Linked DNA regions of Saccharomyces cerevisiae S288C. The gene in region 3 interacts genetically with the main gene of each other region. Each region holds a gene or a part of one and is shown on either strand. Other genes may lie near its edges.

Region 1 (5,092 bases), on a different chromosome or scaffold from region 3:
TCGGTATACTCTGCCTAATAAACCTTAATTTTCTTACAAAAAAAAAAAGATTCAATAAAAAAAGAAATGAGATCAAAAAAAAAAAAAATTAAAAAAAAAAAGAAACTAATTTATCAGCCGCTCGTTTATCAACCGTTATTACCAAATTATGAATAAAAAAACCATATTATTATGAAAAGACACAACCGGAAGGGGAGATCACAGACCTTGACCAAGAAAACATGCCAAGAAATGACAGCAATCAGTATTACGCACGTTGGTGCTGTTATAGGCGCCCTATACGTGCAGCATTTGCTCGTAAGGGCCCTTTCAACTCATCTAGCGGCTATGAAGAAAATGTTGCCCGGCTGAAAAACACCCGTTCCTCTCACTGCCGCACCGCCCGATGCCAATTTAATAGTTCCACGTGGACGTGTTATTTCCAGCACGTGGGGCGGAAATTAGCGACGGCAATTGATTATGGTTCGCCGCAGTCCATCGAAATCAGTGAGATCGGTGCAGTTATGCACCAAATGTCGTGTGAAAGGCTTTCCTTATCCCTCTTCTCCCGTTTTGCCTGCTTATTAGCTAGATTAAAAACGTGCGTATTACTCATTAATTAACCGACCTCATCTATGAGCTAATTATTATTCCTTTTTGGCAGCATGATGCAACCACATTGCACACCGGTAATGCCAACTTAGATCCACTTACTATTGTGGCTCGTATACGTATATATATAAGCTCATCCTCATCTCTTGTATAAAGTAAAGTTCTAAGTTCACTTCTAAATTTTATCTTTCCTCATCTCGTAGATCACCAGGGCACACAACAAACAAAACTCCACGAATACAATCCAAATGAGTTCCGTCAATAAAGATACTATTCATGTTGCTGAAAGAAGTCTTCATAAAGAACACCTTACCGAAGGTGGTAACATGGCCTTCCACAACCATTTGAATGATTTTGCTCATATTGAAGATCCTCTGGAAAGAAGAAGATTGGCTTTGGAGTCCATCGATGACGAAGGTTTCGGTTGGCAACAAGTTAAGACCATCTCCATTGCTGGTGTTGGTTTCTTGACAGATTCTTATGATATTTTTGCCATTAATTTGGGTATCACTATGATGTCCTACGTTTACTGGCACGGTAGTATGCCAGGTCCAAGTCAAACCTTGTTGAAGGTTTCCACTTCTGTTGGTACTGTTATTGGTCAATTTGGTTTTGGTACTTTAGCTGATATTGTTGGTCGTAAGAGAATTTATGGTATGGAACTTATTATCATGATTGTCTGTACCATTCTGCAAACCACTGTTGCTCATTCTCCTGCTATTAACTTCGTTGCTGTTTTAACATTCTACCGTATTGTCATGGGTATTGGTATCGGTGGTGACTACCCACTATCTTCTATTATTACTTCTGAATTTGCCACTACCAAATGGAGAGGTGCCATCATGGGTGCTGTCTTTGCTAACCAAGCTTGGGGTCAAATCTCCGGTGGTATCATCGCTCTTATCTTGGTTGCTGCTTACAAGGGCGAACTAGAATACGCAAACTCTGGTGCTGAATGTGATGCTAGATGTCAAAAGGCTTGTGACCAAATGTGGAGAATCCTTATTGGGTTGGGTACCGTTCTAGGGTTGGCATGTTTGTATTTCAGATTAACTATTCCAGAATCTCCTAGATATCAATTGGATGTTAACGCTAAGTTGGAACTTGCTGCTGCCGCACAAGAACAAGATGGCGAAAAGAAAATTCACGACACCAGTGATGAAGACATGGCAATTAACGGTTTGGAAAGAGCTTCTACTGCCGTCGAATCTCTTGACAATCATCCTCCAAAGGCTTCGTTCAAAGATTTCTGCAGACATTTTGGTCAATGGAAGTACGGTAAGATTTTGCTAGGTACTGCTGGTTCATGGTTTACCTTAGATGTTGCTTTCTACGGGTTGAGTTTAAACAGTGCTGTTATTCTGCAAACCATCGGTTATGCCGGTTCCAAAAACGTTTACAAGAAACTGTATGATACTGCTGTCGGTAATCTGATTTTGATTTGTGCTGGTTCATTACCTGGTTACTGGGTATCCGTCTTCACTGTCGATATAATCGGTAGAAAACCAATTCAATTAGCCGGTTTCATCATCTTGACCGCTTTGTTCTGTGTCATCGGTTTCGCATACCATAAACTTGGTGACCATGGTCTGTTGGCTCTTTACGTCATTTGTCAATTCTTCCAAAACTTCGGTCCAAACACAACCACCTTTATTGTTCCTGGTGAGTGTTTCCCAACTCGTTACAGATCTACTGCTCATGGTATTTCTGCTGCATCTGGTAAGGTCGGTGCCATTATTGCACAAACCGCTTTGGGTACTCTAATCGACCATAACTGTGCTAGAGACGGTAAGCCAACCAACTGTTGGTTACCTCACGTCATGGAAATTTTCGCCTTATTCATGTTGTTGGGTATCTTCACAACCTTGTTGATCCCAGAAACTAAGAGAAAGACTCTAGAAGAAATTAACGAGCTATACCACGATGAAATCGATCCTGCTACGCTAAACTTCAGAAACAAGAATAATGACATTGAATCTTCCAGCCCATCTCAACTTCAACATGAAGCATAAAAGCCTCAAAGATGCACTAAAACTTGTAAACTAGAACAAATAATACAAAAACATTTTTATAAACTTATTATCAAACCCCTTACATAATCTATAAATACTGTCAGGTTACATATTTATTCGATAATTTCTTTTAATTTCATTATTTCCTCACATCTCTCTGCCATCCTGTTGGCTGGTGCCAGAGCAGAGCATATCGTCCTTTCTTTTTTAGTTCCAGACGTTACCCGACATATCATTTCTCGAGCCTCTGGAAACCACGAAACGTTTTACAAATTGCACATCTAAAAGAAATATAAACACAGATCAGGTATCTCATAAAGTACATTAATCGACTAAGCAAGCGACTTGAGACAATGAGAGAGGTCATTAGTATTAATGGTATGTATGCGTTCCTTTTTTTGTTCAATATTCGCAACCAATGGCACCTGTGGGACAGGGAAAGAAGTTTGATCTGATCTGGTTTGATTCATTCCCAATTGGTCACCATCTGGTTGATTTACGGCAAATAATTTGACTTGTACCAGCACAGTTTACTAACAGTTTCTTTTTCTCCATTTTTTCTGGGCATACTCGGACGAAAAAGCTCATAATTGACCTCATTACATGGGGAGTGATTTTTGTGTCTTCTTCTTCGGAGGATTGCTGGAACTTTTGTTATTTTTCTTTTTTACAACAGTTGGTCAAGCAGGTTGTCAAATAGGTAATGCATGCTGGGAATTGTACTCCCTAGAGCATGGCATCAAGGAAGACGGCCATTTGGAGGATGGCTTGTCAAAACCTAAGGGAGGTGAAGAAGGATTTTCTACATTCTTCCATGAAACGGGGTACGGAAAATTCGTCCCAAGAGCAATCTACGTGGATTTAGAGCCCAATGTTATCGATGAAGTACGTACAGGACGTTTCAAGGAGCTTTTCCATCCAGAACAATTGATTAACGGTAAGGAAGATGCCGCCAATAACTACGCAAGAGGCCATTATACAGTGGGTAGAGAAATAGTGGATGAAGTTGAAGAAAGAATTAGAAAGATGGCCGACCAATGTGACGGTTTACAAGGGTTCTTGTTCACCCACTCCCTCGGTGGTGGAACTGGTTCCGGTTTAGGTTCCCTGTTATTAGAAAACTTATCGTATGAATACGGGAAGAAATCCAAATTGGAATTCGCCGTTTATCCTGCGCCTCAATTGTCTACTTCCGTCGTGGAACCTTACAACACGGTTTTAACCACGCATACCACCCTGGAACACGCAGACTGTACGTTTATGGTCGATAACGAAGCCATTTACGATATATGCAAGAGGAACTTGGGAATTTCTAGACCAAGCTTCAGCAACTTGAACGGGTTGATTGCCCAAGTGATATCATCTGTTACAGCCTCTTTGAGGTTCGATGGTTCATTAAACGTGGATTTGAACGAATTTCAGACCAACTTGGTACCATATCCAAGAATTCATTTCCCTTTGGTTTCCTACGCACCCATCTTGTCCAAGAAGAGGGCCACCCATGAATCCAACTCCGTGTCAGAAATCACAAACGCTTGTTTCGAACCGGGCAATCAAATGGTTAAGTGTGACCCAACAAAGGGGAAGTACATGGCTAACTGTTTGTTATACAGAGGTGACGTGGTGACCAGAGATGTCCAAAGAGCCGTCGAACAGGTGAAGAATAAAAAAACAGTACAAATGGTGGATTGGTGTCCAACAGGATTTAAGATTGGTATTTGTTATGAGCCACCAAGTGTGATACCAAGTTCCGAATTAGCCAATGTGGATAGAGCTGTCTGCATGCTATCCAACACCACTGCCATCGCGGACGCTTGGAAGAGAATCGATCAGAAATTCGACCTGATGTATGCCAAACGTGCTTTCGTCCATTGGTATGTCGGTGAAGGTATGGAAGAAGGTGAGTTCACCGAAGCTAGAGAAGATTTAGCTGCCTTAGAAAGAGATTATATTGAAGTGGGTGCCGATTCTTACGCTGAGGAGTTCTAAGAAAGTGGCTCTGATCCCGATACCCACTTATAGATTTATATTTACTTAATGTCCATATGTATATACATATATATATATATATATATATACGCTTATATATATATATGCATATTCTATCCAAATAAAGATACCTCTAATTATCGAATTATTTTTCACTTACCTTTAGGTGTACAGTTAGAACAATAGCTTATTAAATTTATTTTTTTCCCTATGTTCCGCGGAATATTGAAAAATTTGAAAATATTCTAAGACAAAAATACCCATAAAAAACAAAGAGTTTTGAGCTCATCTCGTTGCCACCCAAACTTATCACAAAAAAGGAAGCACTCCAAGAACCGCGTGAAGAAAATGTCAAAAGAAGACATAGAAGGAACTAACATTCTAGACGAACCTGTCCACGGGATCTATATTCCTGCCGCGCTATTCGTTGTTGGTGTTGCAATCACCACGTATATGTCTGGTGAATTGAAAATCCTGTGGAGTTTACCCATTCTCTTCAT
Region 2 (3,988 bases), on a different chromosome or scaffold from region 3:
TTGAATTGATTTTTTGGCCTTGTTAACTTGAAAGGATAATTGATCTCGGTGGAAGTTAAACCTAGAATACAATTCATTTAATTTCTTTTTCAAGTGCTGCCATTGAAGTTCTATATTTTCTTTCCAAACAGCGTTATTAGGTGTCCGTATTTCATTTTTATTAGTGCTGCCTTTATCAGGAGTATCACCGTTCTGTAGAGAATATGAACTATAATGAAATGGCCTGGTGAAAGATGACGCCCTCAACATTAATTTGTTAATGCTGAATACTAAGGGTAAGTTTCTTGTCGCCCCATAGTATCTCAACATCACGCAATTTTTTAATCACTGAGTTCACCCGTTACAATTTCACAACGAAAAAGACCCCAATGATCAGATAGTCCTCTTTATAACGCGTATCTACGTACATAATCTTTATTTGTATTTTTCAATTCATTTGGCTCACATTTATCATACCAGAAGGAAACCCATGCACCTCCATGATGAAATTATACAAAAATTTACATGATAATTGGTTTAGAACTGAGTCTACCACCTTTAAAGTTGGTCAAAGCCCTATGCCTCATGTCAATTGTTTGTAGTACTCTCCAGGCTTCCTCTATATGCCTTGGTTTGAGCGGGTTTATAACATTTTCAGGTCCATCAAATAATCTTTTCTTTCTATGTAATGTGGATGATGCAAATTCAAAGTTAGTATTATCTTGGCTAGATTGCTGGGATTTGTCCTTTTGAGTCTGTAATACCTGTTCTCTTTGTTTGATTTTCAGAGCTGTTTCCGTCAAAGAACAGACAATCTCAAAAGTTAGAAACCCCAGTATATCAATCACATCATCATGGGGTTTCCCCTCAGTTAATTGCGAAATTCCAGACCAGTCCTTGAACCTTTTATTCTTCCTAAATGTAAAACTTGCCTGTCGACAATCGGACCAATGCACGTACTCCTCTTTAGTCATGTTTCGTGTTCTATCGTCAGCCATTTTCAGCCTTTTCAAAGTGACTATATTAGCTTCTCGTTCATCCTCATCCATATCATCATTGTCGTCATTATTTTCTAAAGGATGTTCATTGAACATAAACTGCAATTCCCATGGCAGCTTAATTTGGGATTTCTTGACCTTCATCATGTTTCCACCATCTTTTTCGTCTTTCTCGCCACCACCTGCTTTTTTCAAATCATCTTCACCACCTGCCCCAGGATTTCCAGTGCCACTCGCTACACCGGCACTAGCATCTTGGTCCTTGGCGTTTTTACGCAAATCCTTCCATGACAGATATGTTCTCAAACGATTGACTTTGGCCTTGTCGTGTCTGATCAAGAAAATGACGTCTTCAGGGAGAATGCTCCTACTTCCCCTAAGATGCGCCGTTTTGTTTGACTGTAAAAGAATTTCTATCACTTGACCCCTCACTATATCTTCTATCAGTGATGTGGTTTCTACGGGTGGGTCGTTAATTTCACCAGAGACAAACATCATCTGTTGAATCTCCACACGATACTTATGCTTGTCCATCATTCCTGCCCTAATCTCTTGAATTTTGGCACGGTACCTTGTATGCACTCTTCCCCGGGTTCAGAGTGTCTTCAACCTTACTTTTTACTTTTCGTTTCCGCCGATCTATATTACATGGTTCGGATTTTCTTCTTTTCTGTGCGCTGCGCTTGAAGCCTCAAGAAAGGGCAGCTTTGAACAAGACGTTCTTGCGATAGAGATGAATGAGAATGCATTGAACGCAATGTATACCTATTTTGGCGGCATAAAAAACTTGTTTTCGAGATTGCAGTTGAATCTGAATGTAGCGAGGAGACGAACAAAAAATTGGAGTTCCTACTGTATTGCAAAGAAACTAAGAGACGCCCGCTAATGCTGCCGGAAATGTACGGTGATCTCTTAAAGTTGATTGACCGATAACGCAAAAATAATGCAGCAAACTGTAGATAACTCTTTTTTATCGTAATATTTCTATTAGTATCCAGATATTTCACTCCAAATCACAGCAGACGTTGGTGTGAACGGCATCAGAGTCCCAGGGGCTGAGATAAGTGAAAAAAATGAAATGCCGCCGGCGTATATATAACAGTTATTGTACCTGATATTATGCCAAGTCACTCACTAATCTCGAGAAAATAATTCTAAGACATGTAACCGAACATCATGTCCTTCGAGAACAAACTGCCAACTCCATTAGAAAACAACGATGCTAAGGGCCATATGGTCTGTACCCTGAACAAGACTACGGATGCCAGAAGAGCAGCAGAGACTTTGTCTATTGCTTTTAGTAACTCGCCAGCGTTTCATTTTATCTGCAAGAAAATCTTAAATATTCCTCTAGCTGAGAAGGTGCCTACAAGGACAATAACCACCGATATCATATCGCCATTCCTGGATTCACCTTATGGTGAGATCTCCGAAGTTAATACTTTCGATGCTGTTGCAGTGTGGAGTCTTCCACCTCACGTTCCGAAGGCAAGGAGTAATGATGCAAAGTTCAACAAGGACTTTATTGACGATTTAAATGCTCGCGTAAAGCAAGTCATTCCAAATGGCATCAATTACTACTATCTTTTCTGTATTGGTAAGAACTTAAATGAGAAAGGAATCAGAGGTTCTGTAAGGACTATTTTTGAAGAGTACAAAAGGAGAGCAGACGAAGAAAATTGCGCCATTGTCCTTGAAGCTATTGCCGAGCATGCTAAATCTGTGTACGAATATTTTGGATTTAGAAATTACATGACGTTCAAATACGGTGAGTGTGAGGTCGACTCTAACGGCAATTGCGATCCGAATGGTGAAGGGTTCACAGCCTATTTAATGATATATCATAAGGACGGTAATAAAGTCTTAAAAGAGTAGTTTTTGAGCTTTTTCTTTCCCCCCTTCAAGTAATTATTTAGAATAAAAAGTAGTGTTTAAAGACGACATTTTGGAGCATGCACTGTATAACCAGGTTCAAAAAAATTTCGCCTGCTATTGTTTTCTTTATTTTGAAGATGTGAGAAAAGTCTCATATCTAGTGAGCTTCAGTCTGTTTTTAGATGTAGTTAGCAATTACTATTTTAGGTATTTCTTTGCGCGGTTACGGTCTCAAGAATTTATATTACCACAAAACCTATGTAAGCTAGATCTTCTTAGCGAAAGTGGTTCAGTGGTTAGAATTCATGCTTCCCAAGCATGGGGCCCGGGTTCGATTCCCGGCTTCCGCATTTTTTGTGCAATTTTTTTTTATACTCTATTTTCAAGTTAAAGTTTTTCAAAGGCGAAGTATGTTTACGCTAAATCAAGATATTTGGATGAGCAATCCACTAATTGCGTACTTCAACAGACACACAAGATCAGGAGCGCTACGCCAAACAAGAAAAGAAAATGCCAAGGGAAACAAGTTTGGTAACAATCATCGGTGAAGATAGTTACAAGAAATTACGGTCCTCAAGATGTCTTCTGGTCGGTGCTGGGGGCATAGGGTCTGAATTGTTAAAGGATATAATCTTGATGGAATTTGGTGAAATACATATTGTCGATTTGGACACCATTGACCTTTCGAACTTAAACAGGCAATTTCTTTTTAGACAAAAAGATATTAAACAACCGAAGTCTACCACAGCCGTAAAAGCAGTACAGCATTTCAATAACTCTAAGTTAGTGCCTTACCAAGGAAATGTTATGGACATTTCTACCTTCCCACTGCATTGGTTTGAGCAATTTGACATTATCTTCAATGCTCTTGATAACTTGGCCGCAAGACGGTATGTCAATAAAATATCACAGTTTCTATCACTGCCCTTAATAGAATCTGGAACAGCTGGATTTGATGGATACATGCAGCCTATTATCCCCGGGAAAACTGAGTGTTTTGAATGTACAAAGAAGGAAACACCAAAGACTTTTCCTGTGTGTACTATCAGGTCCACTCCTTCTCAGCCAATTCATTGCATTGTTTGGGCGAAAAACTTTCTATTTAACCAGCTATTTGCGTCAGAGACCTCTGGAAA
Region 3 (7,383 bases):
TTTGTTCGTAATAGATTTTCTATCAAGTCAAGAATTTTTTATTCTTGCAAAGGCCGGCTCACGAATAAAGAGTTGCATTTGCCTTGCAATTCGTACGGTTAATTGTCATTTTTTCTATTTGTATTATAAGATACGAAGGGTACCTCATTGAAGTATTTTCACCTTTAGCATTTTCTTTATCATCTTTTGTTTTGTTTGTTCATTTACTTTAGCGTTTAGTTGATAAGTCCTGTTATCCTCTTCTTTTATTTCATTTCTTCATTTACTTAACTGCGAGAAGATTATAATAGCATGTCAGGTTCTTTCTGGAAGTTTGGTCAGGATTACTCGATAGAGTCACCGGTTTCTAAGATTCTAAATAGTGCCTTTATTAAAATCAATAAGGACCAAGATGACGACGTACCTACCGGCACATGTGAAGAAAATATTGCTGATGACGAAGATAACTCTTCACATGACTACGCTGCTTCTGAAGATAATGTAGTTAACGAGAACGAAGAGAAGGAAGAAGAAAATACTCTGCCCACTACAGAATCGGAATATGAAAATTATAGACCTAATTTGGACGTCTTAGACGATTTGCTGGATGATGACGAACTGTATACGGAATTAATGTGTTCAAATTTCAAGCTACTAATATTCTTGAAGTATCCTGATGTTTTATCAAAATTGATAGAATATGTTACCAACGAGAAGATTCTCGACGAAGAAACAGATAGCGCTAAAAAGCCAGAGATTATTGAAGGTGTAAACGATCATCCTATTTTGATAGAAAGAGACAGAAAGGATAAAAAGGAGGACGCTGAAGAAGGAGGCGACTCAGAAGAAACTACAAATGATAGCGATCATGACTCTGGGGACGAAAGAAGTGTTGATTCTGAAGAGACAAGCATTACTTTGCCACCGGAATCTGAGGAACAAGTGGAGACTAGAAGGGCAAGGATAGCTGCTGAAATTTTATCGGCTGATGTATGGCCTATATCCGCAGCAATAATGCAAAATAAGGATCTTCTTGGTAGATTGTGGTCGATACTAGATCACCCAGCTCCCTTACCGATACCAGCTTCCACCTACTTCATGAAAATAAATGAAAGACTTCTCGATATGGATATAACGGGGATGTTAGAGTTTATATTAAGCCGAGACAGCTTGGTTGCAAGGTTCTTGACACATGTTGACAATCCGTCTTTGATGGACTTCCTTTTGAAAGTTATCTCGACGGATAAACCTGACTCTCCCACGGGTGTCATAAAGATACTAAAATCACAGGAATTAATACCTAAACTTTTAGATCATCTTAATCCAGAATACGGTATTTCCACTCAGTCTGCGGCAGGCGATTTTATTAAGGCATTCGTCACGTTAAGCACTAACTCAAGCAATGAACTTGCTTCGGGAATAGGTCCTAATGAATTGACAAGGCAATTAGTATCAGAAGAAATGATAGAAAAGTTGATTAAGATAATGCTAAAGGGCGGTACATCCTTAAGTAATGGTGTTGGAATTATCATAGAGTTGATCAGGAAGAATAACTCAGATTATGATTTCATCCAACTAGTCTACACTACCCTAGAAAGTCACCCTCCCACTGATCGAGATCCAATTCACTTGATACATTTAGTCAAACTTTTTGCTAAGCATATGCCTGATTTTGCTGATATGCTGGATAAAACCAAGTTGCCACTAATGGAAATGCCATTCGGTAATATTGAACCTCTGGGATTTGAGAGGTTTAAAATCTGTGAACTTATTGCAGAACTATTGCACTGTTCTAATATGACGCTGCTAAATGAGCCCAATGGTGAGATGATTGCCCAAGAACGTGATATAGAAAGGGCCAAAGAATTAGAAACTTCAACCGAAAAGGAAAATATAACAGCTATTGTGGACAATAAATCATCATATTATGATAAGGATTGCGTAGAGAAGGATATCACAGAAAATTTAGGCGCTCTTCAAATAAATAATCAAGGAAGTGAAGAAGATGAATTAAATGATACTGGGGTATCAAGTGTAAAACTAGATGTGAAATCAGACGCAAAGGTAGTTGAGGGGCTAGAAAATGATGCTTCTGGAGTAGAGTTGTATGATGAAACCTTGTCTGACACAGAATCCGTGAGAGAATGCCTAAGGGAAAAACCGCTAGTTGGAGACAGGCTGAAGATTGCTCTAGAAGACACTAAGATACTGATTAGTATCCTTGATATGTTCACTGAGTTCCCTTGGAATAATTTTTTGCATAATGTAATTTTTGATATTGCCCAGCAAATATTCAATGGTCCCCTCAAAACTGGTTATAATAGGTTCCTCTTGAAAGATTATTTGGTTGATGCATACCTAACTAAAAAGATAGTAGATGCGGATAAGGCATGTCAAGACTATGAAAAAAAGACCGGTTTACGTTATGGTTATATGGGTCATTTGACATTAGTTGCCGAAGAAATATCGAAGTTCAAAGAGTATATTGATGAAATGAAGCTAACTTTTTGCAATACCGCTGTTTCAGATCGACTTGAGGAACCATTTTGGAAAGAATATAGTGAAACGATCTTGGCTGATACAAGAGAGAAGTATAACACCGTTTTGGGAGATTTTGGCAATGACCAAGAAAGCGATGACGATGTTATTAGGAATTCTGATTCTGAGGATATAATTGGTGATACAGAGGGCAACGAAAACTACGGAAATGGAGAAAACGATGAACTTCTTAGTAACGGGCATGATTCTGGGAACATGGATTTATATTATAACTTCAATAATAACGAGAATGAAGAAAATGAAGAAGATTACGCAGAGTATAGTGATGTGGATAATAAAAATTACTATAATAACGTCGAGACTAACGACGATGATTATGATAGTGATGATGGTAAATCCAAAAGTGCCGAATCAGAGTTTACCGATAAAATATCTGAACATAGGGATGGCAATAGTCTCTATAATGAGGACAATGATGAAAACGGGAGTGACAAATGGACATCGGGTACTTCATTGTTCCCTCCAGACCATTTTCCTAGTAGGTCACAACCTTCAGATCCTAAACTGCAAGACCAGAATATTTTTCACCATCAGTTTGACTTTGAAGGTGTTGGCGATGACGATGACTATATGGATCCTAATGATGATGGCCAGTCATATGCCAGACCTGGTAATCCATTGTATACTACCCCGAAAACACCACCAAGACCGAAGACTATTCTTTTCAATTCTTTATCCGCATTGGATAATAATGGCGAAGACGAAGAAGTGGCACTAGGCACCAGTGTTGATGATCGAATGGATAACGAGATATCAAGCGATGAAGAAGACTCCGAAGATGAAGATGAAGAGAATGATATGGGCAATGAGGAGGGCTACTCATTATATAGGTCAAGAAGTAAAGAAGCTTTCTGAACTAAAACATTCACATTGTCACATTTTCACCCTTTATTCATCAATTTTTTATTGCTCCACTTTTTTCGCATATAGGTCATTTATAATTCATCAAATATATACTTTTTTAATTGAGGCTTGTAATTTAATATTAACCGAATATAATCTTATAAAGAATAATGAATATTCACTTTTGAATATACTTAAGTTTATATAGGTGTAAGAAGGAAATGTCCATGTTTATTTCAGTAGTTTTTTTCTGTAATCCGCAAAGCTTAATTTCTTTTTCGAATGCAGTTGTGAGGACGAAAAATCTGATAAGTGCATTATACTTTCTGGAGTGGATTCTCGCCTTGAATTAACCGAAGCTTCTGTCATGATTTCTTTTGTTTTTGCTTGACTGTGTTGTGCTTCCTTTGACAGTTCTTTATTGAAATTTGAAAGAGAAGGGGTTCTACTTAATTTATGTTCATTCTTTGATTGACTCTCTTCGACATCGTTTGCAGTTTGCCTTGACGTCTTGTTTATTGGTAAAAGAACTGGAATTGGTAATTCTTCAATATTGGTAATGTGTGATTCGTCATAATCTGTGCTCTTCGTAATTATTAAAGGTTTTTCTGAAGTTTCATTTTTTTTGGGAACAGAAATATTAGAAGAATGTTGTGCAAATAAGGCGAATTTGAAGGGTTTTGCAATATCATCAGGATTATTTGTACTATCAATAGTATTCTTTTGAGGAATTTTTGGACCATTATTTCGATTAAGGAATTTTTGTCGATAAAAATTATTCAAAAGTATTGGAGCTCTTTCTATAGTATTTTGAGCCTTTTCTTCTAGCCTATGCAAAATTGGTGGCTCACGTCTCTTTTTGCAATTATATTGGTTGAGAATTTCATTTAATTTATATCTGTTGTTCATTTTTCCTCTGGATTTCACAGATTTATAAAGACTTTGCGCGTATCTCTTCACTTTCAATAAATAACAATCTTTAGAATTATTTCCACAGCCGCATTCGCCGTTACTCAAAATTGTTTCTACCGAATTTATCAGCCCATACCTTTCAAGGTCATCTAAAGAGTCTATTGTCATGCCCTTTATTAATTTTAATATAGGATGTTTTGAATCCCACTGCCATTTGATGTATAACTCCTCATCCTCTGAAATATCTCTCAAAGCTCTTAAAACAAATTTTATTCTACTTGATTTTCTTCCACTGCTTTTGTCATTCCTATTGTCTGTATCTTGCAGTTTTATAGTTACTAATTCAACATTCGGCTGGCAACTTCTTCTCAAATACCTAGTTGAATTGCCTGATAAGCGTGCATCTATATATATCGGCCAATGGGAATGGAAAATGACCCTTCTTTTAGCTGTACCCCATATCCTGTAATGGTTTCGTGGGTCAGTGAGATAATTTTTATAGAAGTCCAATTCGCCTAAAATTTCTTGAATGAAATCACCTTTTATGCAGTCCTTTTTGAGATAAACTCCTAATTTCGTGAAGCCTGGGTAAGTCCTGGAATATGCAATGTCAGCATACGGTTTGACTTCAATTGACACAGATTTAAAGGTCTTATGAGGATATTGTATGACCCAATTATCATCCATATGTTTATTTAAGAACGGTTCGATCAGATCACTTTTAAACACATTGTCTTTCAAGGGCAAGTATATTGCACCATATGCGTCTTTTGCACTCAGGAAATGCTCTTTTTTCTTGGGCATAGAAGTCAATCCATCGGAAGAATTGACAGAAGCGCTTTCGTTTTTGGAGTCTATACTATTATTTGATGGGTTTCTTTTCCTTCTTTTGTCCCTGTGGTTAGTATTGTCCTGATCCGTTGAAAAGCTATCGCCAACGTCACTAATAGTTGTACTCGATGCTCTGTCCCGACCGTTATTCTTATTACTAGCACTATTGTTTGATGAAGAAGGTTCTACTGTTTTTACGTTTATGCGTTCCTGCTGTATTTTCCTAGCCAAGTTAATGTCTACCTCTCTTGGATCACATGAGTTGCAAAGGTAATCATCAGGTGCCATCCCAATATCTTTGATGCCATAGCAAATAGCATGCTGCCATCTGTTGCAGTGGTCACATTGGATAGTGAATCCATCATCATCATTTAAATCACATATACATGTAATTATACCCGCGTCAGGATCGACTATATACGAATCAGGTACCGGCCATTGAGGTTGCTTTTGAGGTTGATTTTCGGTCTCTTCTTTTGCTGCCGTGGATGTTGCTGCTTCTGCCGCCGATTGCTCAGTAGCTTTCTTTAAAGGTAAAGAAACTGTGGATGCTGTAGCCAGTGCTGCTGCTGCCATTTCTATTGCTCCTTTTTTTTCTCTCTCATGAGACTCATCATGCTCAATAGTATCTGTTTTAGAGCCTATTTTTGAAGCTTCTTCAGCTCTTTTTTTCCCTTTTGAAAACAATAACAATGTGGATGCATCATCTAGGAGCGACTGCTCTTTGGAATTAGGTACTGACATGATTCAGTTCTCGTATTTTGTGAAGTACGATCTAAAACTGTTGTATATACGCTTTAAATCATGTTTACTAGAAAGGTCCTTTATTACTACTTTCTGTATATAGCATGTCGTTGATAATGATATGCATCTATCATGACATAGTAAGATGAATGAGTTGGTTGAACAATTTCCAGGGAAACAAAGGACTAGTTTCATGTCTTTAATGTTTTTTTACGAATAATATACCATGCTATAAAAGTATTATAATAAAAGGTATCGACTACCTGTAATCTAGAATGATAATTTCATACAACGATCACTTCCAACGGTTAAATAATTACCAATAGACCTTACTAGAATATTAAACTTAACAGGTTTAAATTTTGTTGAAATAACTGCAAAAAGCCAGAAAGAAACAGATTTGCACTATAATTTTTCGATTGCCACTACTTAGTCAACGGATTTATCAATGTCATATTTGCCGACTTATTCCAACGACTTGCCAGCAGGCCCGCAAGGCCAGAGGAGGCGTAATAATGGTAATGAAAACGATGCAAGACAAGGCTACGGTCAGCAATCTGTGCCGATGGTAATCAGGAGGCTTTTCAAAACGCCAAAGAATTTAGATCTCGAGACAGCCAGCTGGGAAATGTTCCATTTGATTTTCCATCCAAGAAAAGCTTATAGATCAATATATTATCAGCGACAGACGAAAAATCAGTGGGCGAGAGATGATCCTTCCTTTTTCATCTTCCAAATAGCCTTAATTTCACTCAGTTCTATTATTTGGTCGATTTATAATTCAGGTTTCAACAACGACAGTGATATGGGGGCCTTGAGCATTATAGGTCATTTTTTCAAAAGTTTGGTAATGATGGTGATTTTAGATTTTTTCATATTTGGATTTATTATGGCAACTATTTTTTACCTTTTGTTGAATAGGTCACATTTTAAATTCAAATCGAGCCAAAATAGTGTGGTAGAGTGGGCTTATTGTTTCGACGTTCATTGTAATTCATTTTTAATCATCCTACTGTGCCTATACTTCATTCAGTTTTTACTACTGCCCATAATTAATTTACAAAACTGGATTTCCTTACTCATTGGTAATTCGTTATATTGTTTTGCTATTGGCCATTACTTTATTTTAACCTTTTATGGATACAACCAGTTGCCATTCTTGAAAAATTTGAACTTTATACTTTTACCAACATTAGGATTATCGATAATCTATTTAATCAGTTTATTTGGCATCGACTTATCCAAGAAATTAAGCTTTTACAATTATTAAGCAATTGAACACGGAAATAGAAAAAATTTGGTTCTTTAAGATAAAGCACATAAATTACATAATGATATTATTATTATATATATTTGAAGTATAAAAATGCAATGAGTAATAAGAGCAATAATGACACTATGGACCAAAAGAATGCATAATGAAAACTGTTTATGTATCAGCGTCGAATGCTTATAACAGATAAAAGGAAAATACAGGTAATGGTGTGTTCCTGGTCGTTTTTATATTCCCTTAAT

Evidence for each region.
Region 1: mutations in SET3 (region 3) and TUB3 together harm fitness more than expected from each alone (negative genetic interaction), as found in Saccharomyces cerevisiae (4 studies listed by BioGRID).
Region 2: mutations in SET3 (region 3) and SPT3 together harm fitness more than expected from each alone (negative genetic interaction), as found in Saccharomyces cerevisiae (4 studies listed by BioGRID, with this or other methods).

The regions. Positions count from the first base shown.
Region 1 is NC_001145.3:21,548-26,639, reverse strand, and holds TUB3 (alpha-tubulin TUB3), read left to right. Parts: upstream 1-2,956; coding exon 2,957-2,981; exon of another isoform or gene 2,982-3,076; intron 3,077-3,279; coding exon 3,280-4,592; downstream 4,593-5,092. Other genes in the region: YML122C (uncharacterized protein), read left to right, coding at 222-602; phosphate transporter PHO84, read left to right, coding at 840-2,603; PGA3 (cytochrome-b5 reductase), read left to right, coding at 4,941-5,092. UniProt on the Saccharomyces cerevisiae protein: Tubulin is the major constituent of microtubules, a cylinder consisting of laterally associated linear protofilaments composed of alpha- and beta-tubulin heterodimers.
Region 2 is NC_001136.10:1,256,222-1,260,209, reverse strand, and holds SPT3 (transcriptional regulator SPT3), read right to left. Parts: upstream 1,515-3,988; coding exon 501-1,514; downstream 1-500. Other genes in the region: SHE9 (She9p), read right to left, coding at 1-309; IAT4 (Iat4p), read left to right, coding at 2,154-2,852; E1 ubiquitin-activating protein UBA2, read left to right, coding at 3,363-3,988. UniProt on the Saccharomyces cerevisiae protein: Component of the transcription coactivator SAGA complex. SAGA acts as a general cofactor required for essentially all RNA polymerase II transcription. At the promoters, SAGA is required for transcription pre-initiation complex (PIC) recruitment.
Region 3 is NC_001143.9:493,966-501,348, forward strand, and holds SET3 (histone-binding protein SET3), read right to left. Parts: upstream 5,869-7,383; coding exon 3,613-5,868; downstream 1-3,612. Other genes in the region: SAP190 (Sap190p), read left to right, coding at 292-3,393; GMH1 (Gmh1p), read left to right, coding at 6,317-7,138; SPO14 (phospholipase D), read right to left, coding at 7,379-7,383.